Linked DNA regions of Neurospora crassa OR74A. The protein of the gene in region 1 interacts with the protein of each later gene in a pairwise test. Links are inferred from orthologs where the notes say so. Each region holds a gene or a part of one and is shown on either strand. Other genes may lie near its edges.

What was found.
Region 2: the proteins of NCU03042 (region 1) and NCU00396 interact in binary tests that used the Saccharomyces cerevisiae proteins (3 or more experiments, as listed by UniProt). The link is inferred for Neurospora crassa OR74A from reciprocal best matches to the Saccharomyces cerevisiae genes HSH155 and RSE1.
Region 3: the proteins of NCU03042 (region 1) and NCU02717 interact in a two-hybrid assay, tested with the Saccharomyces cerevisiae proteins (2 studies listed by BioGRID). The link is inferred for Neurospora crassa OR74A from reciprocal best matches to the Saccharomyces cerevisiae genes HSH155 and CLF1.
Region 4: the proteins of NCU03042 (region 1) and NCU02696 interact in a two-hybrid assay, tested with the Saccharomyces cerevisiae proteins (3 studies listed by BioGRID). The link is inferred for Neurospora crassa OR74A from reciprocal best matches to the Saccharomyces cerevisiae genes HSH155 and PRP5.

What each region holds. Positions count from the first base shown.
Region 1 is NC_026501.1:8,342,386-8,350,245, reverse strand, and holds the start of NCU03042 (U2 snRNP component prp10), read left to right. Parts: upstream 1-3,462; 5' UTR 3,463-3,803; coding exon 3,804-7,451; 3' UTR 7,452-7,860. Other genes in the region: NCU03040 (N-glycosylase/DNA lyase), read left to right, coding at 60-178, 260-1,490; NCU03041 (hypothetical protein), read right to left, coding at 1,566-2,189, 2,569-3,219. UniProt on the Saccharomyces cerevisiae protein: Contacts pre-mRNA on both sides of the branch site early in spliceosome assembly.
Region 2 is NC_026503.1:3,704,989-3,713,131, forward strand, and holds the start of NCU00396 (pre-mRNA-splicing factor rse-1), read left to right. Parts: upstream 1-3,509; 5' UTR 3,510-3,791; coding exon 3,792-4,035; intron 4,036-4,098; exon of another isoform or gene 4,099-4,225; coding exon 4,226-6,302; intron 6,303-6,487; coding exon 6,488-7,769; intron 7,770-7,839; coding exon 7,840-7,866; 3' UTR 7,867-8,143. Other genes in the region: NCU16682 (PXA domain-containing protein), read right to left, coding at 1-400; NCU00395 (mRNA processing protein), read right to left, coding at 1,500-1,539, 1,611-3,154. UniProt on the Saccharomyces cerevisiae protein: Involved in G2/M transition. Required for pre-mRNA splicing and endoplasmic reticulum (ER) to Golgi secretion pathway. U2 snRNPs associated protein required for the pre-spliceosome assembly.
Region 3 is NC_026501.1:3,298,263-3,306,249, reverse strand, and holds NCU02717 (pre-mRNA-splicing factor clf-1), read right to left. Parts: upstream 4,983-7,987; 5' UTR 4,884-4,982; coding exon 4,565-4,883; intron 4,488-4,564; coding exon 2,719-4,487; 3' UTR 2,515-2,718; downstream 1-2,514. Other genes in the region: NCU02718 (hypothetical protein), read left to right, coding at 1-1,154; NCU02716 (pre-mRNA splicing factor), read left to right, coding at 5,530-5,877, 5,980-7,467. UniProt on the Saccharomyces cerevisiae protein: Involved in pre-mRNA splicing and cell cycle progression. Required for the spliceosome assembly by promoting the functional integration of the U4/U6.U5 tri-snRNP particle into the U1-, U2-dependent pre-spliceosome.
Region 4 is NC_026501.1:3,228,946-3,236,910, forward strand, and holds NCU02696 (pre-mRNA-processing ATP-dependent RNA helicase prp-5), read left to right. Parts: upstream 1-3,344; 5' UTR 3,345-3,642; coding exon 3,643-3,783; intron 3,784-3,864; coding exon 3,865-4,218; intron 4,219-4,291; coding exon 4,292-7,381; 3' UTR 7,382-7,564; downstream 7,565-7,965. Other genes in the region: NCU02694 (hypothetical protein), read left to right, coding at 1-584; NCU02695 (hypothetical protein), read right to left, coding at 1,069-1,152, 1,285-1,590, 1,710-2,294; NCU02697 (uncharacterized protein), read right to left, coding at 7,747-7,905.

The DNA.
Region 1 (7,860 bases):
AGACCCTTATATCCTTTTTGTCTTATCTGCAAAGTCTAAGAGTTTTTAATAAATACGATATGGCATCCCAGAAAGTGACAGAATGGCGCAAACTGCCTATCAGTCTCACAGAGCTCTGCATCGAAACCACACTCCGATGCGGCCAGTCCTTTAGATGGCGCAAGATAAATGAACAATGGTCCGAATGCACACCACTATCTTACTTTTTTTCTTTTTATTTCTTCTCTGTTCAAAGTATCAAGTCCTAACAGTTTTCCAGGCACTGCGTCCTCAAAGGCCGTCTCATCTCCCTAAAACAAGATCCCACCCATCTTCACTACAAAGTGACATGGCCTACCAGTACAGCAACTCCCAAAAATGAACACCCCCAGGACTTCGAAGACGACACGTCCGTCCTCCTCCACAACTACTTTGCCCTCTCTCACTCTCTCACTACCCTTTACGCCCAATGGTCTCTTTCAGATGCCAACTTCGCCCGGCGTGCGCCCGCTTTCACGGGGATCCGCATCCTTAACCAGGACGCATGGGAGACGCTGATCTCCTTCATCTGCAGCAGCAACAACAACATTTCGCGCATCAGCCAGATGGTGCTGAAGCTGTGTACGCACTACGGTCCTTATGTGGCCACCGTGGAGGGAGAAGCGTTTCATGATTTCCCCGGGCCGGAGGCGTTGGCGGGGGAAGGGGTCGAGGCCCATCTGAGGGAGCTGGGCTTTGGTTATAGGGCCAAGTACATTGCTGAGACGGCGGGGTGTGTGGCGCAGGTTTATGGGGAGAGGTGGTTGCTGAGGTTGAGGAATCCGGGTGTTCCTGCGTTGAGAGCGGCTGAGGAGGATATTTTAGTGAAGAAGGAAGAAGGGGCAGAAGAGAAGGAGTCTGTTGAATCCAAGGCTGACTTGGACAACCCACCGACCTACCAGAAGGCTCATGAAGCTCTGTTGACTCTGCCGGGTGTTGGCCCCAAGGTGTCGGATTGTGTGTGTCTAATGGGTCTCGGGTGGGGCGAGTCTGTTCCCATCGACACGCACGTTTGGCAGATCGCGCAAAGAGACTACAATTTTGGTGGGAAAGGGTCTGCCAAGACCAAGACGCTCAACAAGGCCATGTATGTGGCCGTAGGCGACCATTTCAGGAAGATATGGGGTCCTCAGGCTGGTTGGGCACAGAGTGTCCTCTTTACTGCGAATCTCAAGTCGTTTTCCGAACAAGCAGCTGGGGTAGAGAAGAAGAGGGTGGTGAAAGTCGAAGAGGAAAGCCAGGAAGAGATGGTTACGACTGCTGAGGTTGTGCCCAAGCCCGGAAAAAATAAAGGAGTGGTGGTCAAAATCGAAGAAAGCGAAGAGATGGCCGCCACAACGTCAGTGGCCATGTCCAGGAAACGGAAAACGGTTGCTGCGGAAGTGATACCAAAAGCTGAACCGGACGCCACCGTCCAGACGACAACAACCCGGACATTACGATCCAGTAAAAGGATAAAGAGTCAAGTTTGAGGTCGAGAATAACGCCGATGGGGCTGCTTTGTTACCAATACATACCAACTTGAGCACATATTCCCATCTCCGGATTCATCGCCTCAGTAAACCCACTTTCCACTCCTTGAATACCCGTTCAGTGGTAGGCAGCAGACAGTTACTCCTGTCTAGACGTTCCACAACCTCCTTGATGGCCTCTGTCGGAAGGTTCACCTCCTGGGCATCGCCAGTAAGTGAATCCAGCATGCGGTCAGCCTCCTCTCGGGGAACCAACCGATAAAGCAGTTTCATAGCCGGAATACCACTTTCAGCTCCTGGCCTCGTAACCGTGGCCTCCATGGCAGATGATGTAAACACGATACCACTGTTAAGCACCCATATATGGACAACTTGGTCCTTCCCTACCCCTTCTTCCTCTGTGGTTGCTATGGTCTCTGTGATGGGAAGCAACAGCGACTTGGAGGATCCTGATCGTGCTATGGTGGAAATCAGGGTCGCGGCAAGACACTCTTCAAGTCCTGGGCTGAGGTTGGACACAGAATCGCACGAAATCTGCCACTTTAGGAGTGTGACTGCGGCTGTCCGGAAATTGTAAAAACCGAGCTGGGATTGACAGGAAGAGCAAAACACGTTGAGGCTCCGAACCTGGTTGCTGCTTTCGTCTGAAGCAACAACTTGCCTATCTGGTGATCCATGCTCAGGGGTAGAGAGTGAATACTAAAGAGCGGAAACATGGTCAGCACTAACTGACGAGGGGAGAGGTTTACTGGTGTGAAGAGTTGAGAAAGGATGTTCCTCCAGTTAATCCCAGAGCATTTAGGACTTGGCAATGATCTGGCGAAATGCGGAGGGTTCAGCCTGTCATCCACCGACTGGAAGCGCCCCATCACAGAAGTCAGGTTCGTCGACCACTCAATGCCCCGCATAAGCAGGGGACAGAGTCTGCTTGATTTTGGGCATTTGTATCGGTATCCATGCCATTGAGGGGCCGAGGCCGACTTGGCTACCTTCTTGATGCCCCGACTGCTAAGATTCAAATGGACGCATTCGAGACGGTGAATAGACCAAGTCATGAGCATGCTACATATGGACTTACCGTGATGTTGGAACAGTCCTGCTCGACGAATAACAGCGTTGTCAGATCAACAAACCCAACACCTTGTTGCGCCGAAATGGCCGAGCTCGCGCCATATCCTCGAGCTGCAAGACTCATGTCATCTGCCCTATCGCTTTGCCCGTTGGCATCAACGCCGTTTGACTTGTCGTGGTGGTGATGGTCATGATCGTGGTCACCAGGTTTGTGACAGTGCCAAAACTCCATCATCTCAGCCCAGTTCTCACTCGGGAGGTCTTTCCACACCTTGACAACATCTCGCTTGACAACAACGGCCTGGCATTGTCTACAAACAACTTCGGACCCGGCCTTCAAATCGGTGGCTGTCCAAGTGGACGACTCGGCTGATGATGCATCCGTGTATGTTCCTTGACCCAACGGTAACCTCCAGGAGAGCGCAGAGGCTCCAGGTCTTTGTATTGGCAGAATGGCGCCGCCAAGGGCTACCTTTGCGGGTAGATGTAGTGTATGTGACTGTCCATGGTGTGTGAGCTCGACATTCTCTCCATCCGCTGCCACCACTACTCGTGTTGACGCATCGCTTGCAGAGCCCAGTGAGATGGCCAGCGATATCTGGCGGATATTTGAAAGCAACTCTACATACAGTAGCGGCGTTGCAGGTTGGGATGTCATGCTGGTCGAAGCGAAGATGAAGCGAGGTTGAGAGAGGTGAAATGGATGGAAGTTGAGGGTGTGGAAAGTGAAAGTGCTGCCTCCCCACATGAGCTAAGTGGAAATGGATGGAAGCTCCCCTGCTCCCCACCGCGATCGAAAGCGTCGAGGTCTGGACTGCTTACCTAATGCACCTGGAGCGCCACTTGGAGTGGAAACTTCAGGTGCAGCCTTGCCAAGCCCGTGTCAGCTCTCTCACGGTCACGTCCCGTCACCAGTCGCTGGCCAAAATTTCAGGGAAGGCGTGTGCACCGTACCGCATCCACTGCGCCCGTCTTCAGCCGTGACCTGCATCCCTCTGCCTCCACCGTCTATTCCCTTGCTGATAGCCTCAGTTATACACGACAAAGTGTCAAAACTGTCACCGTCAATTTAGCTGCCCCGTCAGTTACCATACCCGATCCCACCCAACCACCCACGGGCAGCGCCACATCATCACGTCCCGTTTCCTCCCGACCACATACCATCATTCACCCTCGCGGCGCGCTGGACATTCTTGCGACGACCCCGACCTGACATGACACGAGGAGGATACGGCCAGCACCATGTCGGACTCGGATTTTGAGCAGATCAAGAAGCTCCAGCAGGAGCGCAATGCTGCTGCTGCCGCCAAGAGCGGTTCGCGCAGCTTTGATCCTGCCAACCAACGATCCGACAACAGCACCAAAGCCAAGCTGGGAGAAATATGGGACACCGATCTGTATGAGCGCAACACCGGCGACAAGTTTGCGGGCTACCACACCACCCTGCCTGCTGCCGATGGCGACGACGAAGAGATGGAAGATGCCGACTCCGGCCGCCGCCTAGTAGGACAGTACACCGCCACCCGAGCTCAGATCGATGAGTTTGCACGCGGCGATGGCGTCGAGGAGGATGATCCCCTGGCTGGCCGGGGCGAAAAGAGCAACCGCATCACCGACAGGGAGACCGACTACCAGAAGCGCCGATTTGACCGCGTTCTGACCCCTACACGAGCCGACCCATTTGCTGCCAACCGCCAAGCAGGTGCCACTGATGAAGGCGAGAGTTACCGGGAAATCATGGAACGCCGCGAGCTTGAGCGAGAGGAAGAGCGCGTACGGCGCGCCATTGAACAGAAGATGAAGGAGGGCGGTCCGGTCGAGGAGCACCAGCCTACCCTTCAGGATTCCGGTAACAAGGAGAACGAGGAGGCTGGCTCTACTGAAGCTGCGGCTGGTCGGAAGCGCAAGAAGAGATGGGATGTCGCCTCTACAGATGATGCTACCCCGGCACCAGAGCCCAAGAAGAGGTCTAGGTGGGATCAAGCACCATCTGTTCCCGCTCCAGGGGCGCCAGGGGCGGAACCCAAGAAGCGATCCCGCTGGGACCAGGCGCCTTCTGCCACTCCTGTTGGTAATGTCGGCCTAGCTACCCCGATGCACCCTACCCAGACCGCTGTCGTGCCCCCAGCTTTCGGGGCTGATGCGGCCGGTCGCTACGCACCACTCAGCGACGAAGAGCTGGACGCGATGCTTCCAGGCCCCGAACAAGGTTACAAGATTCTTGAGCCGCCACCAGGGTATGCCCCCGTGCGAGCACCGGCACACAAGCTGATGCAGGCTCCGGCCCCAACAACGGGCTTCATGATGCAGGACCCCGACAGCGGACGGATGACAGGCCAGCAGGTGCCAAAGGAGATTCCCGGTGTGGGAGACCTGCAATTCTTCAAGCCCGAAGATATGGCATACTTCGGCAAGCTCACCGACGGAGCAGATGAGGAAAGTTTGAGTGTCGAAGAGCTCAAGGAGAGAAAGATTATGAGGCTCTTGCTGAAGGTCAAGAACGGTACTCCTCCTATGAGAAAGACTGCGCTCAGACAATTGACAGATAATGCTCGCAACTTTGGTGCCGGCCCCCTCTTCAACCAAATTCTTCCTCTGCTCATGGAGAAAACATTGGAGGACCAGGAACGCCATCTTCTCGTCAAGGTTATTGATCGTATTTTGTACAAGCTCGATGACATGGTTCGACCATACGTTCACAAGATTCTCGTCGTTATCGAACCCCTTCTTATCGATCAGGACTACTATGCCCGTGTTGAGGGTCGGGAAATCATTTCGAACCTCAGCAAGGCTGCTGGTCTTGCCACAATGATCAGTGTCATGCGTCCAGATATTGATCACGTCGATGAATATGTCAGAAACACTACTGCCAGAGCCTTTGCCGTCGTTGCCTCGGCTCTGGGTATCCCAGCTCTGCTCCCCTTCTTGCGAGCTGTGTGCCGAAGCAAAAAGTCGTGGCAGGCTCGTCACACGGGTGTCAAGATCGTCCAGCAGATTCCCATCTTGATGGGCTGCGCAGTCTTGCCCCATCTCAAGCAGCTGGTTGACTGTATCGGACCCAACCTGAACGATGAACAGACCAAGGTCCGCACAGTGACCAGTTTGGCCATCGCAGCTCTCGCCGAGGCATCTAACCCCTACGGTATCGAGAGCTTTGATGATATTCTCAACCCCCTTTGGACCGGTGCCCGAAAGCAGCGAGGCAAGGGTCTGGCGGGTTTCCTCAAGGCTGTCGGTTATATTATCCCGCTTATGGATGAAGACTATGCCAACTATTACACCAGTCAGATTATGGAGATTCTGCTACGAGAATTTGCCTCTCCTGATGAAGAGATGAAGAAGGTTGTGCTAAAGGTGATTTCACAGTGCGCCGCCACCGATGGAGTAACGGCTGGGTACCTAAAGGAGCATGTGCTGGACGAGTTCTTCAAGAGCTTTTGGGTACGGCGTATGGCTCTGGATAAGCGCAACTACCGACAGGTCGTTGAGACCACTGTCGACATTGGCCAAAAGGTTGGTGTCAGCGAGATTCTGGAAAGGATCGTAGCCAACCTAAAGGACGAGAGCGAAGCCTACCGCAAGATGACGGTGGAGACGGTTGAAAAGATTGTGGCCTCTCTCGGTGCTGCCGATATTGGCGAGCGTCTGGAAGAACGCCTTATCGATGGCATTCTTCATGCGTTCCAGGAACAGAGCGTGGAGGACATCGTTATGCTTAACGGCTTCGGTTCGGTGGTTAACGCATTAGGCACCCGATGCAAGCCTTACCTTCCTCAGATTGTCAGCACCATTCTTTGGCGTCTGAACAACAAGTCAGCTACTGTACGACAGCAAGCAGCCGATTTGATCTCCCGCATCGCCATGGTCATGAAGCAATGCGGTGAAGATGCCCTCATGGGTAAGCTTGGTATTGTTCTTTACGAGTATCTTGGCGAGGAGTATCCCGAGGTCCTTGGCTCTATTCTTGGTGCTCTCCGCTCCATTGTTACTGTCGTGGGTATCAGCCAGATGCAGCCCCCTATCAAGGATCTTCTGCCTCGCCTGACCCCTATTCTTCGTAACCGACACGAGAAGGTACAAGAGAACACGATTGATCTCGTAGGTCGTATTGCCGATCGCGGTCCAGAGAGTGTCAACGCCCGCGAATGGATGCGAATCTGCTTCGAGCTTCTCGACATGCTCAAGGCTCACAAGAAGGGCATCAGACGTGCTGCCAACAACACTTTCGGTTTCATTGCCAAGGCCATTGGTCCTCAGGATGTCCTTGCAACCCTTCTGAACAACCTCCGCGTTCAGGAGCGTCAGTCCCGTGTCAACACGGCCGTCGCCATCGGTATCGTTGCCGAGACATGCGCGCCCTTCACTGTGTTGCCTGCGCTCATGAACGAGTACCGCGTCCCCGAGCTCAACGTTCAGAACGGCGTGCTCAAGTCGCTCTCCTTCCTCTTCGAGTACATCGGCGAGATGGCCAAGGACTATGTTTACGCCGTCACGCCACTCCTGGAGGACGCCCTCATTGACCGTGACCAGGTGCACAGACAAACAGCCGCTAGTGTTGTCAAGCACATTGCCCTTGGCGTTGTTGGTCTCGGTTGCGAGGATGCCATGGTTCACTTGCTCAACTTGCTGTATCCCAACCTTTTCGAGACCAGCCCCCACGTTATCGACCGCATCGTCGAGGCTATCGAGGCCATCAGGATGGCCGTTGGTCCGGGACTGGTCCTCAACTACGTCTGGGCCGGTCTTTTCCACCCGGCAAGAAAGGTACGGACACCATATTGGCGTCTGTACAACGATGCATACGTCCAGTGCGCGGACGCTATGGTGCCGTATTATCCCAACCTCATCGAGGAGGGCATCGACAGGACGGAGTTGGCGATTGTGCTTTAGGCGATGGGAATCAGGTTAGTCTAGCAGGAGCAAACAGGTTTCTTGTTTCTATGGTTCAGCTTCGTTATGACGACGAGGGTGAACAACGCGACTTTTTATCGAAGCGTCTTGGGGTTTGGGCGCGCTATGCGCCATTGAAGGCTTTACACACATAAACACACGCGCACAACAAAAGAAGGATCAAGTGATGTCACTATGGTTTTATGTGCGATATACACTGTAAAATGCGATCTGCGCCAATGTCATCGTTTGTCGTATTGGTTAGGACATCCAAGATGATGGCTTTCTATGTTGTAAGAGAATGGTGGACGATTGTTCTTAGGTCAGAAAGTAGCTAGGTTGTTACATATGCACCTGTAAAGCTAGGTCAGACGAGCAGATGAGTGCAAAAAAGGATAAATACATAATG
Region 2 (8,143 bases), on another chromosome or scaffold:
GGTCGACATCGTTCCGACTGGTCAGAGGCGGCAGCACATCCTCAATCGATACCGGCGGGGTCTTGCCCTTGTCCTGGTGTTGAGGACACAAGATGCGCCTGATCAGATAAACGGTGGCCTTGTCAGAAAGGGGGTCTGTCCGCTGCGCGTTGGACTGGGGCGACGGCGATCCCCGTTTGGTCCGTGACCTGGTGCCGGCCTTCAGGTTGTTTGTCGACGAAGATGGTTCTGAGCTCGTCCTGGGCGACTTTGGTCGTGGGGTTGAGAGACGAGTGGGAGCGGGGCCCTGACTCTGTGCAGTGACAGGGACCGCAGGGGACGCAGAGGGCGCAGAGGGCGCAGAGGGCGCAGAGAAAGTGGGAGCAGCAGCAGCAGCAGCAGCAGTCGAGGCAGTTGTCATGACGGGCCAACTAGCGGTGTCCAAGCATTGTGCCCCGCGCGCACCCGCTCATATCATAGCGCCGTCCACTCTTTATGACAATTCAGAGCCTGGCAGCTCTTTGAAGCGCGAGAGGCGGAAGACAAGAGAAAATCGTCGAGGTGTGATTGTGCGTGTTGCGCGGTGCAGTGGTTGGTGAACAGGTGGTGCTGGGTGCATGTTGATAGGTAGCGAGTGGTCCGGTCTTGTGTTCCGTCCACGCCTGTCCCGCACCTGTGGTGGATGGCCGGCGACCCCAGCCAACAGCGGCAGTAGCCCAGGTGATAAGGAAGCACCCTGCCGCTTATCAGCCAATACCTGTCCGAAACGGGTAGGCGGTGAGGTTAGCCAAGACCAAGCATGGTCGTTGCCCGTAGCATGGAACCGATCACCCCTTGAAGTCGTCGAGCTTCCCCTGAATGAATGTCAACAAAGCACACACCTTTGACTTACGCAGCTAAGGCGGCACCGCATCCTCGACCGCTTTTAAATTCCTTTAACTCTAGTCAAGTCGGTGCGAGTCATCTTCCAGCATGTGGGTAGTTTTCGTTTCTTACCAAGGATACACACTGCTGCTGGCAGGTTAGGAATCTCCACGCCTGAAGTTTGTTATCGTTGCACTTCGCTTGACAAACGTTGACCGAAATTTACTGCGCGGTGCAAGGTGTTGCGTGAGACGGACAAAAAGTGCTTGAAAAAAAAAAACCGTCTGTCGTCGATGAGGCTCAAGCTGTCATCACCCTTGCCACAGCAGACTGCCGTGACACAAGGCACTTGCTGCATGCGGCCCGAGCCTGACCGTTGCAGATCAGTGCCTCCCTAGGCCCACAACTACGAGATTATCAGACTGTGCAGTCCAAAAGATTTTGAACACACACCTTGGATCCGACATCCGTAACATCCAGCCCGTACCGTTAGAAACGGAAAAGATACCACAAAGTCTTGAAGTGTAAAAAGCCGATATGGTCGTGACAATGCGTTTGTTCGATATTCCTATTATACAGTCTGGGCTCCTAACAGCCCGGTTGCCAACACCTACTACATCTTACAGGATGCAACGACCAGCATACGCATGGCTCATCTATACAGCAATGACGTTGTCTTTGACGGTAGCCTCGTACCTAAAACAAACTCTGTTAGCTCTCGAACCGTATCTAGTTGTGCGGGGGAAAAAAATCAAGAGAGCACCAACCTCTTTCCGCGGAAGGCCCACACACCCCAGTTACCGGCACTGACGTCCTGAGGGTCAAGATCATTCAGATCCCACCGGAGACTGCGGAAGATGTTCTCGCCAGGCTCCATGAGAATGTCGAATTCACCCTTGGCCTTCTTGTTGACCCACTCGACATCACGCTCCATGTCAGCCTGCGTGTAGCCCGTAGCAATGATAGGAGCTTTGGTCTCGAGAAGCATAGGCAGCGTTTCCTCCCATTCGTGGGAGCTTGCCGGGTGGCCCAAACCAGGGTGGAAGAGGACGAAGCAGTCGAAGTAAGGATCGTGAGGAGCGAAATAACCCGTCTTGTGGATAGTATGGTAATAATCCACAATGGTGCTGATCTTCATGGTAGGCCATACGCGATCCTCCACAACCGCACCGTAAGGATTCTCGGGAGTACGAGGCGGGAGGGGAAATTCGTCATCGCGGTTCATCATGCTCTCGGGTCCGATGAAAATCAGATGGAGTCTCGACAGGGGGAAGAGATGGGCCAACTGCACCCAAGCATCTCTAGGCAGCGACGACTCAGCGCGAGCACCGAGAATAAAGACACGCACGGGGGGCGCCTCAGGCCGAAGACCCTTGATAGACTCGTTGCCTCCAGTTTTGGGAGGATGCAGGGTATAGCGAAGTGCCGTCAAACTCTTTAAGCCCTCGACCGTGAGGCGATTCCGGATGTGGTACGGGCTCAACTCGTGAAGAACGCTGCCGATCGTGAGAGGATAGGTCAACAACCTAGTCGCCTGTCTCATGCACCGGTCATCGTTGACAGCTTCGAACTGACGGGTATACATGAACGTGTCCCAGTTGGTCATGTTGACCATGGCATCATCCATTTGCGGACCGGCGTAGTTGAACTCGTAGAAGTGGCGGCCTGAATGGAGGTCATGGTCATCTTCATTGATCTGCCGCAGAGTGTCGCATATCTCGAGATGTTTCTCATAGTCGTCCATCCAATGCTGCTCGCTGCAATATACCGGGATGCCACAGTCAGGGCACTCGAAATCGACGTGCTTCGGCGGCTGGGAGCCAGACTCGGTATCGACTTGGCGGTTGGTCTCGGAGAACTGCCCTGGGCGGTGGCTATGGTGGGGGCAGCTGGCGTGCTGTCTTATGAAGGCCGCGCGCTGGCGGATCTTGGGGATGGGCGAGTTGGTGAAGGAGTGGAAGAGGTTGTCCTGCTCGAGAATCGGCTTCGAGGGGATACCACTACCGGCCAGATCCTCGTTGGTGGCAAACGATGTCGAGCTGCTGGCCTTGGTTCTGGACTGGGCAGCAACGGAAGGAAGCTTGCTTGTGATCGAAGCCTGGATCGGACGCGAAATGGTTCTGGTGATGCCGCCGACTTGCGTCGAAGACGAGGAAGAGCTCTGTGCCCCTCGGATGGAGCTGACGGAGCGTTGCTGGGCTGACTGCAAAAACGCAGCACTTTGCCTGCTCTGTCTAGCTGTGAAAGTCGAGCATTGCGAGCAAAGCTTGGACAAGGCCGGACGCACGGCGCGGTCTGCTGGGAGGGCCATTGGGAGTTCAAGAGGTCGGATGATGTTCGATCGGGAATCTGGATCGCCGGGACTCGATGCGACTTTCCAATTGACTTTTTGGCAGCAGCTCCCAGCAATCCGGGGTCCTCTCCCACCGACCCGACTCGCTACCTACCTCTACTGTGCCTAAGTGCCTAGGCGGGTCCCGTCCATCGAATGACCCACTTTGTTCTTGCTTCACCAGCCACAATTGTGCCTAGGTAAGCTCCGTCTGACGTTACGTATGCGGGTCAGAGAGCTACGAGCAAGCCACAGTCGCGAGGCGGGAAGATGAGTGGGCGGCGTCTACGACCTACCGTGGACCGAGTCCGACGTACCGCTGCAACCTGAGTGACTGGACTGCACCAATTGGCCAGAAATACCATCGACGGCAACCGACTCCATCTACCTCGCCAGAGTGCCAGAACACTGGACCGTGTTTCATTTTTTTTTGCCGTGTTACAATCATCTACTCGATATTCAACTCTAGATTTTCGACAATCTGGCTGACTTTCGCGCATTGGTCTTCTCAACATAACGACGGCAGCATTGACAGAGCACAACCGAGTCCTACCCACTTGCAAAAACAACCTCGAGAAAGCAGAGCCGCGCCGGCTGTCTGCGCCCAGTTGCAGCCATGGCGACTACGTCGAACATGTTCCTGTATTCCTTGACCATCCAGCCACCCACCGCTGTCACGCAGGCTCTGCTTGGTCAGTTCTCGGGAACCAAGGAACAGCAGATTCTTACGGCGTCTGGATCGCGTCTAACCCTCCTTCAGCCTGATCCCCGTCAGGGCAAGGTCAACACCCTGTTGTCTCATGACATCTTCGGCATCGTACGCGCCATCGCGTCGTTCCGTCTGGCCGGCAGCCACAAGGGTGAGTAACCTCCCCGCCACCTCCTGTGTTGGGCAATATAGTGATTCTGGATCCGTTCCCCAGGTGCTTCTGGGTAGAGGGGCCACACGTATGGTCACGCACCATGCACCCAGGCCTACGAGTCTTCTGGGGACTTGAGAGACTCATTCAAATCGGTAGCGGGATTGTGCTAAAACCCTGTGCCACCCAGACTACATTATCCTCGCCACTGATTCGGGCCGCATTACGATTATCGAGTATCTCCCCAAGACGAACAAGTTTCAGCGCATCCACCTCGAGACTTTCGGCAAATCGGGCGTCCGCCGAGTCATCCCCGGCCAGTACTTAGCCGCAGATCCAAAGGGAAGAGCATGCCTCATTTCGGCACTCGAAAAGAACAAGCTGGTCTATGTTCTCAACCGAAACTCACAGGCCGAGCTTACCATCTCGTCACCACTGGAAGCCCACAAGCCAGGCGTGTTGGTGCTGTCTCTTGTTGCCCTTGACGTTGGTTACGCAAACCCCGTTTTCGCTGCGTTGGAACTGGACTACACGGACGCGGACCAAGATCCTACGGGCCAAGCACGAGAAGAAGTCGAGACACAGCTGGTATATTACGAGCTTGATCTGGGCCTGAACCACGTTGTACGCAAGTGGTCAGATACTGTCGATCGCACTTCTTCACTTCTCTTCCAAGTACCCGGCGGCAATGACGGTCCCAGCGGTGTCTTGGTGTGCGGCGAGGAAAATGTCACCTATCGGCACTCGAATCAAGAGGCTTTCCGCGTCCCCATCCCTAGACGCAGCGGTGCCACCGAAGATCCTCAGAGGAAGCGGGTTATCGTCTCTGGCGTTATGCACAAGCTCAAGGGAAGCGCGGGCGCCTTTTTCTTCCTTCTTCAGACGGACGATGGAGATCTCTTCAAAGTCACCATTGACATGATCGAAGATAGTGACGGCAACCCCACCGGAGAGGTCAAGCGCCTCAAGATCAAGTACTTCGACACGATACCAGTAGCCACTAGTCTTTGCATCCTGAAGAGCGGCTTCCTGTTCGCCGCTAGCGAGTTTGGAAACCATCACTTTTACCAATTTGAAAAGCTCGGAGACGATGACGAGGAGCTCGAGTTCAGCAGCGACGACTTCCCGACAGACCCTACCGCCTCATATAACCCGGTGTACTTCCACCCCAGGCCACTTGAAAATCTGGTCCTGGTTGAGAGCATTGATTCGATGAACCCTCAGGTCGACTGCAAGGTTGCGAATCTGACGGGAGAGGACGCGCCCCAGATCTACTCTGTCTGTGGAAATGGGGCGCGGAGTACTTTCCGCATGTTGAAGCACGGACTCGAAGTGTCTGAAATTGTCGCTTCGGAGCTTCCGGGTACACCTTCTGCTGTATGGACGACTAAGTTGACCAAGTACGATCAGTACGATGCTTATATTGTGCTGTCATTCACAAATGGAACATTGGTTCTCAGCATTGGTGAGACGGTAGAAGAGGTCAGCGATAGTGGTTTCTTGACTACGGCGCCCACCCTAGCTGTGCAGCAAATGGGTGAGGATGGCTTGATACAAGTTCACCCCAAGGGCATTCGCCACATCGTCCAAGGTCGTGTCAATGAATGGCCTGCACCTCAGCATCGCTCGATTGTTGCTGCCACGGCAAATGAGAATCAGGTTGTCATCGCCTTGAGCTCTGGCGAAATCGTCTACTTCGAAATGGACTCGGATGGTTCGCTCGCCGAGTATGACGAAAAGAAGGAGATGTCGGGTACCGTCACATCGCTGAGCGTCGGTCAAGTACCGGAGGGCCTGAAGCGAAGCTCTTTCCTAGCTGTAGGATGCGATGATTGCACAGTTCGCATTCTTAGCTTGGACCCTGATTCAACACTCGAGATGAAGTCCATCCAAGCTTTAACAGCCGCGCCCTCGGCTTTATCAATCATGTCGATGGAGGACTCGTTTGGTGGATCCACGCTCTATCTCCACATCGGATTGCATTCGGGCGTTTACCTCCGGACTGTGCTGGATGAAGTGACGGGCGAACTGACAGACACTCGTCAAAAATTCTTGGGTCCCAAGCCTACCAGACTTTTCCAAGTATCAGTTCAGGATCAGCCATGTGTTCTTGCGCTGAGCTCGAGGCCATGGTTAGGCTACACCGACCCACTTACTAAGGGCTTCATGATGACGCCCCTAAGTTACACCGAGCTTGAGTATGGTTGGAACTTCAGTAGCGAACAGTGCTTGGAAGGCATGGTTGGTATTCATGCCAACTACCTAAGGTCAGTTTATTCCAAATTGTTTGGCGTCCAGTTATGTGATGAGGAAAGTGAACTCTATGCCCTTGGGTAATGAGGCGATTGGAGCAATCATATGTGATTGTACCAATTGTTCCTTACAAATACAACCCGATACACCCATCCATTTTGCACGTCCTTATCTTCACAGACACTGACATTGAGTGCAGAATCTTTTCAATCGAAAAACTGGGCGACAACATGATTCAGAAATCCATTCCTTTGACTTACACACCTAAGCACTTGGTCAAGCATCCCGAACAGCCATACTTTTACACTATCGAATCCGACAATAACACCCTCCCCCCGGAGCTGCGGGCAAAGCTTCTGGAGCAACAAAGCAATGGCGACGCAACGGTACTGCCGCCAGAGGACTTTGGATATCCCAGAGCCAAAGGTAGATGGGCATCGTGCATCAGCATTATCGACCCTATCAGTGAGGAACCGAGAGTCCTCCAAAGGATTGATCTTGACAACAATGAGGCGGCAGTCAGCGCGGCCATTGTACCTTTTGCCAGTCAAGAGGGCGAAAGTTTCCTGGTTGTCGGCACGGGCAAAGATATGGTCCTCGACCCACGTCAATTTACCGAGGGCTACATCCATGTTTACAGATTCCATGAAGACGGCCGGGACCTGGAGTTCATTCATAAGACCCGAGTAGAAGAGCCGCCTTTGGCACTCATTCCGTTCCAAGGACGTCTGCTTGCTGGCGTCGGCAAGACACTCCGTATCTACGACCTCGGTTTGAAGCAACTGCTCCGAAAAGCTCAAGCAGATGTGACGCCCACTCTCATCGTCTCCCTACAAAGCCAGGGTAACCGCATCATTGTCGGCGATCTCCAGCAAGGCATCACGTACGTTGTCTACAAGGCCGAGGGCAATAGACTCATTCCCTTTGCTGACGACACCTTGAACCGCTGGACAACCTGCACCACCATGGTCGACTACGAATCCGTTGCCGGCGGCGACAAGTTCGGCAACATATACATCGTCCGTTGCCCAGAGCGCGTCAGCCAGGAAACTGACGAGCCTGGATCAGAGATCCACCTGATGCACGCCCGCAACTACCTTCATGGCACACCCAACCGCTTGAGCCTCCAGGTCCACTTCTACACTCAGGACTTGCCGACCAGCATATGCAAGACCAGCCTAGTTGTCGGTGGTCAGGACGTGCTGCTCTGGAGCGGCTTGCAGGGCACTGTCGGTGTTTTCATTCCCTTTGTCAGCCGTGAGGATGTCGACTTCTTCCAGAATCTGGAGAATCATATGCGCGCTGAAGACCCGCCGCTTGCCGGCCGTGATCATTTGATCTACCGGGGTTACTATACCCCCGTCAAGGGTGTGATCGATGGTGACTTGTGCGAGAGGTTTAGCTTGCTGCCGAATGATAAGAAGCAGATGATTGCGGGAGAACTTGATCGCTCGGTGAGGGAAATCGAGCGCAAGATTTCGGTATGTGTTCCCTCAAACCCCCTTGAATTTCGAGAAACAATTCACTTACTAACCTGCTTGCTTTGTCTAGGATATCCGCACCCGGTCTGCCTTCTAAACTTGAGTACATCGTTTCTGGGTGAGAAGTAATGGCTGCGAGCTTATGGTTTAATGTATATGAAACTCCTTGCAAAGAAGCGCGTCGTTTTCACAGACATCTGGGATGGATCAAAGCCTTGTTGTAATGTTAACTTGGATTACTGCTGTTGATTCAGCTAGGCGCTCCGGTGGTGGTAAGTGGTTTAGGCGTCAATTGTATGTACGCCGTTGTGCTTAGATTTAACGATGGAAAGAAGAGACAGATTGGTACGTGGCTAAACAAAAAGAAAAGAAGA
Region 3 (7,987 bases), about 5.0 Mb from region 1:
GTGCTGCTACTGTTGATGCTGCCATGAAGGACGATAAGGCGGGTAGCAAGCTCGGTTTGGCCGAATCCGTCATCGGTGGCCTGCTTGGCAACCGTGTGCTGAACGGCTCCAAGAAGAACATTGAGGAGGATGAGAAGACCGGTCGCTCTCGGTCGCGGTCTCGTGCCCGCTCTCGGTCCAAGGGCCCCGGTGGCGGACTCGCCGCTATCGCGACTGCCGGTCTCGGCACCTACGCTGCAAACAAGCTCAACAGCCGATCCAGGTCCCGACGCCGGAGCACTGATTCATATGACAGCCGCGACGGCTCGCGCGATAGACGTCATCGCAGCCGTAGCCGCAGCGTCGTCGACTCGGCGCGCAAGGGCCTTGCCAAGCTAGGCATCGGAAACGGGCCAGACGACTATGAGCGCGACCGCCACGACCGCAGACATTACGATGACTATGCCGACTCTTCTCGAAGCGGGCGTCGACACCGAGACTACTCAGACGATGAGCGCTCCAGAAGCGGCCGCAGCCGTAGTCGCTCAAGGGGAGGAGGAACTGTGGCAAGGAGACGCGATGCTTCGCGTGGATCAGTCTCCTCATCCGACCTGGGAGATTCGGACGATGACAGGAAGAGAACCAAGAAAATGAGAGGTAAGCAAATGATTACTACAGGATTGGCAGCTGTGGCGACCATCCACGCTGCCCACAACATCTACCAAAGCGTGGAGAAGCACAGCGTACGTAAGAAGGCAGTGAGGGAAGGGGAATTGAGTCCGGAAGAAGCCAAGAAGCTCAAGCAGAGAGCCATGCTGCAAGATGCCGCATCGGTCGGCATCGCGGCCCTGGGCATCAAGGGCGCCATCTCGGAGATGAAGGAGGCTCGTGAGGTGACGCACGAGACGCATGAGTGGAAGAAGAAGAAAGAGGAAAGGCATCAGAGACGGCTCGAAAGACTGCGGGCAACGGCAAACCAGGCAAATGACTTTGACGGGGACGGCCGTGGCGACATTGTCGACTTCGGCAGACGCAGGGCTGACAACTGGTCTTCTTCAGCGCCGCCCAAGGCGACCCGCCTGGAGGATGGTCCCTATTATACTGATGGGAATCCATACGGTGCCATGCCTCGCAATCCATCTCCTCCATCGGGCAGCAGTCCTGGCAGGAGATGAGTTATGGGCAGGTTTGCCATTGCCCGCTTTATCGTCGTCTGTCACCCGTGCTCTCTAATTTGACCCGACATTCAATCTGCATTCTTGCATCCCCAATCCTACGCGGTGCCTCAAGAAACAACAAGAGAGCTGGTCACTACTGGGCGTTTGCTCAACTTGAGCTGAGCGAGGGAGCGTGTGCCTTGCTTGAGCTCATGCTGGTCTGACGAACACCTTGACCGTTAGAGCCCAGCCCCTCCTTCTGCTTGGTTGGACACATGCGCAAGGGGAAATCTTCCAAACTGCGATGCCTCATCGCTTATTACAGTTGCTGTTGCGCCTCCTGATATGCTTTGGTTACGATGAACATGACCTTTTTCTTCCTTTTTCATCACATACACGAAAAGTTATCAAATGCAGTTGTTTAACCAGTTGACTAATTGTTCTCCCGCTTTCTGCGCAAACAGATCACCGTCGCTAAACATAGTCTCCACTATCTGAACCGATTGAACCGAAAAAGACAGGAGGACCCCGAAATCCAGGGAAATGTGGCGATCCTTGGCAGGGGTTGCAAGCAGGTTTTTTTGCGTTGTACGACTGAACGGGCACGCATGTTGAACCTCGACAAACAGGAACTGTGAGGAATGACGCGCACTCAAACCACTGCAAGTCTGCAACAGCGAAATGATTGATGGGAAAACGGTTGTTGGTCGGTGCCGAAACGGCCGGTACCGGAACGGAAACGCGCCGCACGCTGGCTGTCTGAGCTGTTCTGGTTGGCTCGCAAGTCACACACATGGATGTTTGGATCTCACGAGACTTGGCGTGTGGTTGGTTGGCCTGGCTGCCAAAGGATACAACATGCGGTTATGTCGGCCCCTACATCCTTACACTTCCTATCTTTCGGCATCTATGCATAGCTTGTTCCTCCCTTGCCCACTCTCTGTACTCCTTACTCCAACTTTCTTACACCTTCTGCTGGGCGGCAGCTACAACGACATGTTTTCGCTCTCTTTCTACTTTTTTCTACCTATTCTTTCCTTTTCATGATGATGATGATAATGATGGTCAACAGGTTGGGTTTTATGAGGATGATGAAGAAACAGATCAATTCCGAGAGGTTGAGAGAATGACAATGATAAACAATGTATGCCTCTTTGCGAATTCTCACGATATATGTATAAAGAGAAGGCCGGTAGTCAGTTTCTTTCATGGAGATAAACGATACTTTTTGGACCCACGAATACAATGTGCTGGAAATCGACGTCAAGACCACCATGAGATTCGACGGCCGAGGAAGACCTGATATCCTCAGAGTATCCCAACATGTACAAAGCCGTATTTAATCGTACGGGATATGGAACAACCTACCAAGCAGTTGGTTAAAATATAATTCACACCTTTCATCAAAGTATGGGGTTTCTATCGTGGTTTGGGCTTTTTATGTGATCTTTAATACCGAGAACAACTCAAGAGGTATATATGTGTGGGAGTAAAGATCCGCACCATATCGGTTACTGTATTCGGGGGGAAAAGTTTATGGGCTTCTTGGTCTGCGGCCTAATATAACATTGCATCTCCTACACTAGCTGCTCCCTCCCTGAGCCGCTTCATCGACAGCAGCGCCACCAGCACCCCCCGCGGCCTGCTGTTTCCAAGCATTCGCCATGGCCAACAGACTCGACAAGTTCTTGGTCTGCTGATCATCAGCCGGGAAGATATAATCGACATATTCCTCCCAAGTATCATCCTCCAGCTTACGCTTCTTCTTGGTCTTCCTAGGCATTTGTTTCTGAATCTTTTCGATATCCTCCGCCGACCCATGCGTCTTCTCAAACGCCAACCACGCGTTGAGCAGCGACACACGCTCGGCCTTGAGCTCGCGCTCCTTCATGCTCTTGTGCGCCCTCTCAAAGATCTTGCGAGCACGTGCCTTGGCCTCTTCGCTAACAGGCTTCTCTTCCACCTCCTCCTCCGTTTCTTCCTCCTCCTCGGCCTCGTCGGGTATGTTGATCTCGAACTGGGCGTAACTGATCCAGACCTTGGGGTGATCGGCCTTCTCGAGCAGGCGCTCGTACAGGGCACGCGTCCGCTCGTACTCGCCCTCTTCTTCCTCGAAATCGATGTACGCCTTCCATACCACCTCGGGCATGTCCAGGATCGGCTGCGAGACAGCGAGCTCGAAGATGGCGCGGGTGCGCTCGAGATCGTCGAGACCACGTTCCAGCTCGGCCCACTTGATCCATGTTTGGCAGTTGGCCGGGTTGTACATGACATGCTTTTCGTAGAGGGTGCGGCAGCGCTCGAACTCGTAGAGCTTCTGCTCGAGGAGGATGTACTCCTTGAAGATCTTGTCTTTGGGGCACATGCCGATGGCGCGGCCGAGGGTTTTGCGGGCCGTCGTTAGTTGGCCCTGTCGGATCTCGAAGTGCGCCTTGGCAACCCACACTTTGGCAAAAGTGAACTTCTTGTGGGGGATCAGGTTCAGACAGGTGTCGTAGATCTGACGGGCTCGCCCGATATCCTTTGTTTCCCTCTCCTCCCATATCGCGTAAAAGAGGAAGAGGAAAATGTACCGCCTCCAGTGTCGCTTCTCTTGGGTTGGCGGTACTTGAGCAATGGCTCGCTCGTAGACTTCTCTGGTCCGATCGACATCTCCTCCGCTCTCCTCGAGTCGCGCAAAGTCAAACCAGACGTCGTAGTTCTTTGCGTTCTCCTTGACTTGCTCCTCGTACAATCTCCTCCTCTTTGTAAGAATGACGTCCTCCACACCCTCCTTGTCGCCAAACTGCTTTTCAAATGTGGTGTAGTGGGCATGTAGCGTCATCGACTTGGACCGAGGCAAGTTGTCGAGGCCAAACTTGTAGATGGCACGGGCCCGCTCATACTCACGCAGACGGGCCTCGTACCGGGCGAAGGCGATGAATATCCTCTCGTCAACGGCATCGTCGCCTAGCGTTTCGGCAATTGTCTGGATAGCTGTCTGGAAGACCTCGCGGACCGTGTCGCTGGTCCCGTATTCCTCTTCAAACTTGGCCCACTTGAGCCACGTCCTCGGTTCCGGATGGACGGCGGTAAAGGCCCTGAAGATCTCCCTTGCCCTGTCGAACTCGCCGTAACGTTTCTCTAGACGGATATAAGCACTCCACGCCTGCTCATCTGGCTGCCACTTCATCCACCGGTCGAAGACTTGTCTGGTACCCGGAATGTCGCCGAGCATCTCCATAACGTAGAGATACTGGTACCAGAGAGATGTGACTCTGGGCAGCCGCGTGACAGCGCGGTCCAACAGATTGCGTGCATGGTTGATGTTACGGTTCTTGATCTCTGCTTGAACGTATCGGATCCAGAGTTCTGTTGGACATATCGTTAGCGACTGATGTGCGCCACATTTAACAGCACATGGACACTTTGAGTTTAGACAAACATACGAGTATTGTTGGGATGTACATCCAGAGCGCGCTCGAACACAGAGCGAGCCCGCGCAAACTCCTTCTGTTCTAGCTCCCATTGAGCATACTGGAGCCAGTTCGATAGACGAACTCGGTTACGCCGCACGTAGTCCTCAAACTCCTTGCGCTTACGACCTTGGTATTCCTTGAGCTCCTCGAGGTCGGCAAAGCGCTGTGTCGGGGTCTGGAGGTTGACTTCCTGGCGGTCGACGGCCTCGCGCAGCAGCTGCTCGGCCGAGATCTGTACAGGCGCAGGGGCTTTATTCTTCACCCGTGGCGGGCCGCGCGATGACTCCATTGTGAAGATGGGCGTAAAAAGTGGCGATCTGCAGATGTTGGCGTGGTGTTGTAAGTTCGGTTTCTCAATGAGATTTTGGGGTCTGGACGCAACAGCAGCCAGCCACTGAACTCAGTTGAGGACGCGCTGCGATTGATGGACCGTGGCTCGATGCCCCTGCCTACTTACTGAACCTTGCTGCACAGTGGGTATGGACACTTTTCGCTCATCATGTCATTGTACATCTGATAGGTAGTACATGTCCGACCTCAGCGAGCAGGTTCGCCCATAAGACGACGCTGAGCCGCTGGAAGGCCGCTGTATTGGGTGTGGCTGCGAACTACGCCTACTTGACACTATCTACTCACTGCACTGGCAGCTATCGGCGACATACCAAGCCGCACTGTGTACGACCGGCAGGCAAAGCACTGGCGCAACGAGGTCAGTACAGTACGCTAGGCCGTGATGCAACGCCGCGGTCTCTTGCCTCCATTCTTCCCAAAACCAAAACAAGTCGACAACACATCGAACTCTTTTCCATTCTTTCTTCGGCACACGGCAGCTGTTGTACCTGTATCAGCGACTGTCCCGTTTACTCCTGAATCTAACCACCTTGAGACCCGAACAGTCGCCGAATATTCTGCCCAGGAAACAGGGTTTTGCCAACATGTCGTCTACTCTCGACGAGCTCCTCCAGGACTTTGAGGACTCTGGCTCCGAGGCCGGTGGCGAGGAGTATGGCGATGGTCTTCTAGGCGATGGCGTTGACACGACTGGAGGCTCCGGCGTGGACGACGCACATGTACCGATCAATGATGAGGATCAAGATGAAGGCATGGGCGACGAGGAGGGCGAGGACGAAGACGAAGCTATGGGTGGCGTCGGCGCCGACGACTCGAATGCTGTAGAAGATCCCGAGGAAGCAAAAGCCAAGGTTGAGAAGATGCATCTGGGAGGAGTGCGAGATGTTCGAACTGTTGCGACTCTTATGAAGTCATTGAAGCCAGTACTCGAGGTTAGTTCCCTTATACCCGTTTGCGGTGCTCCCTTTGAACATGGAAAAGCGTTTACATCTTATTTGAGCAATAGCCCTGACAGTCTGGATCGAACGTTGCAGAAAATCGCACACTATCAAGCACAACCCGCTCAGGCCAACGACGTCGGCCATGTCGAAGATCACCCGGAATACAACCTCTTGACCAACGCCAACAGACTGTCTACTCTGATAGACAGTGAGGTGGCCCTTGTCCACAAGTTTGTGAGGGATCACTTCTCCGCCAGATTTGCTGCACTCGAGTCGCTATTACCGAACCCAATCGAATACTGCAAGGTTGTTGCCATCTTGGGCAACTCCCCAATGGACTCGGAGAGCATGAAAGCGTTGCAGCTTTCCACCGATAACCCTCTGGGGTTAACCCTCAAGTCAGTTCTTGACGGACCAACCTTGATGATTGTCACGGTGGAAGCCACGGTTTCCAAGGGTCAATTTCTGGGCGAGAATGAGATCCAGCGCGTCACAGAAGCGTGCTTGATGGTGGTCGATCTTGATAAGGCTAAGAAGACCCTCACTGAGTACGTACAGTCTCGCATGAACATCTTTGCGCCAAACTTGACGGCTCTCATCGGTTCCCTCACAGCAGCACAGCTTCTTAACCAAGCCGGCGGCCTGACTGGCCTTTCCAAAACCCCGGCTTGCAACCTCCCGGCTTGGGGCTCTAAGAAACAGACAAGTTCTGCTCTTGCCACCAATGTCGGCATCAGACAGCAGGGCTTCATCTATCAGTCAGACATCATTCGTGGGATTCCAACCGACCTCAAGAAACAGGCTATGAAAATGTTTGCAAACAAGATTGTCATGTGCGCGCGCACCGACTGCTTTCACCAGTTCAGGGATGGGTCAGAAGGCGAACGACTGAAGGACGAATGTCTAGACCGCCTAGATAAGTTGCAGCAAAAGCCAAACAGCAAGGGCGCACGCGCTCTCCCGGCACCCGACGACAAGCCGAGTAGAAAGCGTGGTGGCCGACGCGCTCGTAAAGCCAAGGAGGCCACGGCCATGACGGAATTGCGCAAGGCTCAGAACCGTATGGCCTTTGGCAAAGAGGAGAAGGAAGTCGGTTATGGCACGGGCGACGCTACCGCTGGCATGGGCATGATCGGCCAGCGTGACGATGGACGTCTACGGGTCACGCAAATCGACCAGCGCACGCGTGCCAAGTTGAGTGCAAAGAGCAAGGGCTGGGGTGGCGCCAGCTCGCTCAATGGCGGCGCCGCATCATCTCTCAGAGGGCTTGCTGGCGGTGGCAGCGGCATTGGCAACATCAATCTGGCTGCCAGCAAGGGCTTGCGGACGTCAGGCGTTGGTACCACGGTGGGCAGCGCCACCGCCGGAACGGTATCGTCGTTGGCGTTTACGCCTATGCAAGGCTTAGAGCTCGTTGATCCAAAGGTGCAATACGAGCTTAGCAGGAAGCGCAAAGCAGACGAGGACCGCTGGTTTAAGGGCGGCACATTCACCCAAGTTGGCAACTCGGGTGGCGCCGGTGAATTCAAGAAGCCTGCATTGCCCCCCAGCAAGAGACAAGATACGGGAGCGACGAAGTGACACCTGTACATGGAGACGGTGGACGAGCCGGTCGATGAAAGCGTACGCCGGTGACCAAGCGTGGTCCCCTAACCTCAATCCCGTTGGGATGGCTCGGTGTGTCCCTGGTCAGTTGGATACTCTGAAGGGAGAAGTATCCGAGCTAATACCGGCTAAGCTAAAGTTTGCACAACTCATGTCATTCTAGATCATAATCATATCATGGACTCGGCAATTTTTTGAGGGTCATGCTGCTAGGGGGAAAAAACTCAGGGAAGTGATCACATTCCATTTGCGACAAAGGCTTTTCTCCTGTACTTTGGTTGATGTTATGTTGCTGTACATGCATCCTCTTATCGTGTTGATGTTCCACTGTTAACCTAAACCAATTCATAGGAGAGGGAATGAGTTTACCAGTCCCATGCACTACGACTGTTAGTGAACCTATAACGTAGGAATCCGTAGATCTTACGAAATCTCATGTGTGTTTCTAATCAGAACATCGATGATATCCTTCTGCTTCAGTTCGGCATACCGAGAT
Region 4 (7,965 bases), about 5.1 Mb from region 1:
GACAAGACGCTATCAAATCCAACCAGATCGCCTCACGAAGCGCCCGCCTCTCGTCGGTCCTCGAGCTCCATTCGCCCTGCCCTCCAACGTCCGATCACGTATTCGATCTCTCATCTTCTTTTTCAAAGGAGAAAGGAGAAGGAGAAGCAGAAAACGATCTCTCATTGATGACCCCCGTCCTCGCCAAGCTCGCCATCGACCTGAAACTCCCCAAACGATTCCAGCCCTCACTCCGGACACGCGCCACGCGCCCTTACGAGCGGGGCTACTGGCTGGTGGACTGCACGTCATGGGGCCGCGAGCTCAAGGAGTCGTGCTGGCTTTTTCTAGCGGACTACCTGGGTAGCGGGGCGGCGGGCTGGGGGGTCTGGTGCACGCGGGATGAAGCGTTCACTCGTTTGAGATTGTATTGCTGGGGCGCGGTGGTTGGTCACCTATACCTTGTCTTGTACATAATTAGCAAGCGGGAGGTGCTGTATACAGGGACGGAATGGGTGGATGGGGACGGGGAGGTGGTCATTAGGATGGAAGCTAGGTCGCGGTCTGTAATGGCCACGGGGGTGGGCACGTTGAGTGCGAGGTAGGGCTCTAGGTTGTTGTGGCAGATTTGAATGGGCGTGGGAAACTGGTCCTGGTTCAAAGTGGACCGAAGCTGGGAGTTGCGGGCTCAGCTGATGAGTTGCGGGCGTTTAACAACCTACAGCCCCTGGTATCAGTGATATTGGGGGGTAACCAAACTTGAATTTGGCCCATGACTACTCTTCGTGTACATGAACTTGAGGCTTTGCGATGCAGTGTACTTCTGGTCCCTTCTTTATTTGGGTTCCTAGTTGGACACCCACATTCGTTCCTTTATTGATCCATAAAGATTATCCGATGATTCGCCTCGCTTCCCCAACAACCTTACAAATACATTTCGGTGCCACTCGAACAACAGAGTGCGACGGAGCATCGGCAACGAGCCGGCTAATTGTGTGACGAACGAAGCTCATGGAGGTCGCTCGGAGCCCATATAAATTCACATGAACCGAACCGGAAAAGGGGCGTCGAGGGGCGTGATAACCACACTCAAGCGGCAGCATGAGCGGCGGCGGCAGCAGCTCTCTCACTGAGGTATCTCTCCTTATCGACTGCAGCGTTGTCGACGTAAGGCTGGGTGAAGCATACGGTTGTTAACACGGTGATCAAGTCAGGCAAGAACGTCGTTGCGAACGGGGCAAGAACCTGTCGCACTACGATGGACAAGAGGGAAATGGATGACGAGGAAGGATTGAAAAGACCTACCTGTTTTGCCGCATCGTCCATGGACTTCCACTCCTCGGACAAAGCCTTCGCTATTTCCGGTAGGGGCTTGCCAGCATAGAGGGCGTCCTTTTGGCGCGACATGCAAAAGAACAAAAAGGCACTCCTTAGGCGCTTTGGGCGCCGGTCATCGGGGATAGGATGGACGACCGAAGTGACACCGAGGCGCTTCAGCGCATGACGGGCATAATTGGCGTCCTCGATCTCCATGGGTGTCTTGGTGAGTACCCACGCTGCCCGCGTAGCCACGCCATCCTGGTGAGCCTTGTCGGCCTTGGCTTGGTAGCGCTGTGTACAGAAAGATCGCAGTCAGCAAAGGAACAGGACGAAGTATGGTACAAACTTGAGAAGTAGCTGAAGGGCGGCAGAGGAACATCACGGGATGGAGCTCCATGGGGCAAACTTACGGCTTTTTCAGCGTCCGACAGCTCCTTCCACTGTGCAGCCAACGTTTTAAAGTACCCTCTCCGCGTCGCGATATCATCGCCTTCTTTCAAGACGTCCTTCATGTGCTCACTGATGTACGCGGACCAAGCAGGAACTCGGTGGGTTTTGGGATCTTCTTTGAACAGCGCCCGCTGCTTCAACAGTCTGATCCTGAGCTTCTTCTTCTGCTCGTCCGTCAGCGGTGCCTTCTTCTTGGGCGCCTTGGGCTTCTTGGGCGCAGCCTCCTTCTTGGCTCTGGGCGTCTTTGCCCTTGCGCCGGCTCCTGTAGCGCCCTCAGCGGCCGACTTCTTGGACTTTGCGGCGGCGGGACGAGTCTTGTTGGTCTTGGTGGCCGTAGCAGCAGTATCGTCCGATTCGGCGGCGGTTTTCTTGGCGCGAGTTAGGGCATAACCGCGCTGCTGAAAGACGACGCCGCTGCGGCGAAGGAAGCTGGGAGCAGCGGAGCGGGTGGTCGAGCTGGTGGACGCAGCCACGGCAGTACGAACGACCAGCGTGGTGCCAGCGCGCAGCTGACGAGCCGTCGCGAGCGCAATCTGCGAGAACATCTTGGACTGTGGCGGCGACAGTGAGGTCGGGGTGGGAAATGGTGGGAGGGAAGAGGGGAGAAGCTGTCGCGGCGCAGGTCAAGCAGGAACGTGTCTTGATGCGGGGCCAATTGCACAAGTTGGAAGTGGAAGGGAAGAGTGAAGCAATAGTGACAGCCGAGAGCCCTGTCCAAGCGGGAAGCTGGAGTGGGTCGGGGAAGATCAGTTTTACGCAGGATGGAGCCCGCACGGCAGACCTGCGGAGGGGAGGGCTCGTGCCCAGGCACTTGTGGATGTCGAGACTTGCAGGCGTAGTGTATGCGTAGTGTATGCGTAGTGTACACTACCTAAGTGGGTACTAGGTGTAGCGGTACGCAAGGGGACAGGTACCGGATGCTGCTTCAGTTACTTACCCTAAGCGTGGTCCGATCTCGTGGGCTTCCAGAAATGGAAAACCCCGTCTCAAGAGGAATGGTACTAGTCATAAGGTACGGACCGTTTTTGTTCGACAGGAGCTGTATTTTGACCTTCGTTCACGCAAAATATGTATTTCTCTGGCTTGAGGTACTTGAAGGTCGTGCCCTCGTCAACGTAGACATACTACGACAAGACAGTAAAGTTACAGGTAATATACGTCACATCCAATACCCAGATCAAGCTCCACAGGTTTGACCTCCATGGCACCAGTGGAGACCCCTACCTCAGCGCGAGCTTCATCCTTAAGAAGAGACACCTCCGCTTAAGCTCAGTCTACTAATAAGTTATACGATACACACAGACGGAGGTCGAAGAGTAAATGAGATGTACTCGGCAGCAAGTAGGCTTCGTATCTGCGCGAAACTTTACATGCTGACAAGGTACCTTTACTTGGAAGAGATACCCGTGTGATTTACAGTTGCGTATATGTATTTCTTATACCACACAGGCGGGCAAGCGCACGGTCCCTTGGGAGTTTGGGAGTTGCAGCACCCGCTGGGCTTGGCGCTTCCATTGGCAGGTGGAACCACAAGCGAAGCCCAGGCAGCCGCAGAAGGCCTTCCCCGGGGTGGCCACTGCACTCAGCAGCCCATTCCCGGCTTGGGCTTGCAAACTACAAACTTTCAACTTCCGCCTTGACGGAACCCAACGCTTAGTTGCCTCTTCGCTTCCTTCTCCACAGCCCGTCTCGCATCTTTACAGTTTCTGGCCGCACCGCCGCACAACGCCTTTCCGACCTTGGAACTGACGCTCATACCATCGGCCGGATCGAACACGACGGAGGGCAGCCGAGTGCGCAAAGACCCTCTGACTCGCTAACTGTGCATACCACGCGACTCGAAGTACCTCTCACCATCAGTGACATTGCTGAGCCAACGTTACTTCCAGCAGTATGGCTCGGCTCAGGGACTCGCGCTCACCATCTCCTGCAGGAAGTCTCTCTGCGAGAAAACGAAAAGACGACGACCGCCGTGACCGCGACCGTCGCGATGGCCCTGTCGACCACCGCCGCCGTTCTCGCAGCCCCATAGACGTAAGTCGACCGTCTCCCCGACTCCCGGTGTCGTGCTGCTCCCGAGAACCCCAATGGCTGACACGTGTGATATTCATGCAGCGCCGATATCGCGACCGGGATCGCGACCGCGGACGAGATGGAAGGGACCGCGACTCTTATCGCCGTAGGGATCGATCTATAGACCGCCGAGATGACGACTACTATCGCGGCTCACGTCGTGATGGTGACCGCCGTCGGTCACGCGATAGAGGCCTAGACAGGCTTCGTTCCCCAGACCGGCGTAGGGACCGAAGTCGGGATCCGGACCGAGAGTACCGCCCTCGGCGAGACGATTCGCGTGATCGGGCCCGAGTGCGTCGTGAAGGCACTGCTGAATCATCCTCACATCGTCGTGATGACGTTCGAGCACGCGACCAGCCGAAGCCAGGCAACACAACAGCCAAAGAAAACGAGGTACGTTTTGGAGGACCCTACATACAAGTATCCCCTTTTCCGGACCGTTCACTGACGCAACTGCATTCTGTAGCCAGCTAAGTCTACACCAACCCAACCGCAAACAGAGGCGGAGAAAAAGGCTGAACGACTACGAAAGCTGCAAGCGATGAAGCAAAAGCACGCTCTCAAGGAGGCAAAGGAAGCAGACGTTACCGCTGGGCTCACTAGGAAACTCTTCATGGAGATGGATCAGAGAGCCAGCGGCGCCGTAGTCGGCAGTGGTACCAACAGTCCTGCGCCTGCGAGCCCGGCAGCCGCCGAGTCCCCAGCAAGCCCTGCCCCCTATGTCGGCAAGTTTGATCCCAAAGCCATTGCGCGGAATGCTAAACCAGCACGTGCCAGTTCCCCGGTAAGGTTAGGCGACGTGAAGCTAGGTGATGTGAAAGTAGGTGCCCCGGTGGCGGCGGCGGCGAGTATAGCTGGCCAGGGGAAGGGTGCCGCATCGGGCAAAGCAGGCTTACTGCAAACTGGGAGGCCTATCAGTACTTTCGGGTTCAACAAATCCGCCGATGCCCTTAAAACGACAGCTAAACGGAAGATTGACATGGGAGATGAAGAAATCATCAAGCGCAAGCTTGTCAAACTCCCTGACCTGGCCCTCGAGAATGCTGACGATACCCCATACGCGGACGACGACGTGGCGGAAGACGCGGAGAAAGATTTCGACGTACTCCTTGCCGGCACCGAGGAGGACCGCGCTGAAGCCCAACGGTTGCTGCGCGAGCGGCGTGAGGAGCAAATTCAGAAAGAGAGCATGGCTATGGAAATCGACAGTGCCCCTTCTAATATCGAGGTTGCAACCGAGCCTGTGGCGCAAAATCCGACAGCGATGGATGTAGACGACGAAGTCGACCCACTCGATGCCTTCATGGCTGGACTTGAGCAGACAGCCTCTGGCGAGGAGTCGCACTCTAAAGCCGATACGCTGACCGAAAAGAAGAACGGCAATATTCCGCCTGAGGCCTACTTCAGTGATGATGACTACGGCTATGAGGCAGATGGGACCGACCCCACTTCCATTCTCGCCATGGCTTCCAAAAAGAAGAAGAAGGATATCCCCACGATCGACTACAGCAAGCTCGACCTGAATCCTATTCGGAAGAACTTCTGGGTTGAGCCGTATGAGTTAAGTCACATGAGCGAAGAAGAACTGGCTGAGTTGCGATTGGAGCTTGATGGCATCAAAGTGTCCGGGAAGAACATCCCCAAGCCCGTTCAGAAGTGGTCTCAGTGCGGCCTCACCCGTCCTATTCTCGATACCATTGAGAGCCTTGGGTTTGAAAAGCCTACGCCGATTCAGATGCAAGCTCTGCCTGTCATCATGTCAGGGCGTGACGTGATTGGCGTTGCAAAGACGGGATCTGGTAAGACAATGGCTTTTGCCCTGCCGATGCTCCGCCATGTCAAAGATCAAGACCCCGTTACCGGCGACGATGGTGCCATTGCGCTTATCATGACCCCGACCAGAGAACTCTGTACGCAAATTTACTCGGACTTGCAACCGTTTGCAAAGGCTCTGAAGCTTCGCGTTGTCGCTGCTTATGGTGGAAACGCCATCAAGGACCAGATCGCCGAGTTGAAGCGCGGTGCTGAGATCATTGTAGCCACACCAGGTCGTCTAATCGATCTTCTTGCGGCCAATGGAGGACGTGTAACAAACCTCAAGCGTGCTACTTATCTAGTCCTTGACGAGGCTGATCGAATGTTCGACATGGGCTTTGAACCCCAGGTCATGAAAATCTTCAACAACGTCCGCCCAGATCGCCAGACCATCCTCTTTTCTGCAACCATGCCCAGGATTATCGACGCGTTAACCAAGAAGGTCCTGCGCGACCCTGTCGAGATTACTGTGGGTGGGCGCAGTGTCGTAGCACCCGAGATCACACAGATCGTTGAGGTCATGGACGAGGGTAAGAAGTTCAACCGTCTGCTAGAACTCCTTGGAGAGCTTTATGCGGACGACGACGATGTCCGTTCCTTGATCTTTGTGGAGAGGCAAGAAAAGGCTGACGATCTATTACGCGAACTCTTACGGCGCGGCTACGGTTGCATGTCTATCCATGGAGGTAAAGACCAAGAGGACCGAAACTCGACCATATCTGATTTCAAGAAGGGTGTGTGCCCCATCCTCATTGCAACCTCGATTGCGGCCCGTGGCCTGGATGTCAAGCAGTTAAAGCTCGTCATCAACTACGATGCCCCTAATCACTTGGAAGACTACGTCCACCGCGCTGGGCGTACTGGACGCGCTGGTAACACGGGTACGGCAGTCACCTTTATAACCGAAGAGCAGGAGAATTGCGCATCTGGCATTGCCAAAGCGTTGGAGCAGAGTGGCCAGCCCGTTCCAGACCGGCTGAATGAAATGCGCAAAGCATGGAAGGAGAAGGTTAAGGCTGGTAAAGCCAAGGATGCCAGTGGGTTTGGCGGCAAAGGCCTTGAGAAGCTCGATAAAGACCGTGAGGCCGCTCGCATGCGTGAACGCAAGACCCACAAGGCGGAAGGCGAAGAGGACGATGTCAAAGAAGACGCTCCTGCAGAAGATGGCGAGAAGAAGGACAAGACCAAGGTTGCCATCCAGTCCGCTGTATCTGCCATTGTGTCACGCGATGCCTCCAAGGCGGAGACCGAGGACAAGCACGCCATCCCTGCGGGTGCCGTCAAGGCCGGGCATCACGCAAGCAGCGGCAAGAGCGGAGGGGCTCTCGACAAGGCGGCGTCCGCCATCAGCGAGATCAACGCACGTCTCGCCCGGGCCGGTCAGCTCCGGCCTGGCCAGCCCATTGACAACAAGGGTCCCGACGCGGGCGCGTTCCACGCAACTCTCGAGATCAACGACTTCCCCCAGAAGGCTCGTTGGGCTGTCACCAACCGCACCAACGTTGCCAAGATCCTCGAAGCCACGGGAACGTCGATCACCACAAAGGGCAACTACTATGCTCCTGGAAAGGAGCCAGGTCCGGGTCAAGAACCAAAGCTGTACATTCTCATTGAGGGTGATACCGAAGTTGTCGTTGGCAACGCGCTGTCGGAGCTTACTCGTCTGCTTAGAGAGGGCACGATGGCGGCGGCGGATGCTGAGAGCCGTGCTCCTGCTAGCGGTAGGTATACGATTACATGATTGTCTGGGGACCATAGTGGGTGTTTCAAGTGTAAAGGTCAGCTTCTCACTTGACGGGGTTTTTACCTGATTAGGGTGACATGTACACACGTGCGAAGAGGTGGTGGTTGGCGATATAGTATATCTACGATCAGGTAGTTGTTCATAGATGCATTATAGATTGATACGTCCAGTGTTCTACTCACAATAATCACAATTTGCGTATGAGAGTGAAAAAAAAAGCGTGCTGTTCATGCTTGGGGCAACACCCAAACGAGCCATCGTCAACCACTATAAGCACCACCCACTTTCAAAGCGATCCAAACTCCCAATCAACTTGAACTATCCCTTCCGCAAAATCAGTCGCGCACCGTCAAAGAACCACCTTAATTATAACTCCTCGCCTCCGCCGCTTGATCAGCCGCCCTTCGCGCTCTTTCCCGCTCACTCTCCTCTTTGAGAAGCGCATCGCGCGTCATGCCCTTTTGCGCTCGCAGCTTCTTGGAGAGGTCGGCACCTGACCCTTGATCTCTTTGAAACCGAGCCTGTTTGTTTGTTTGTTTGTCAATGTGTGCATAGGTTTATTGAATGGTAAGTGGTGAGTG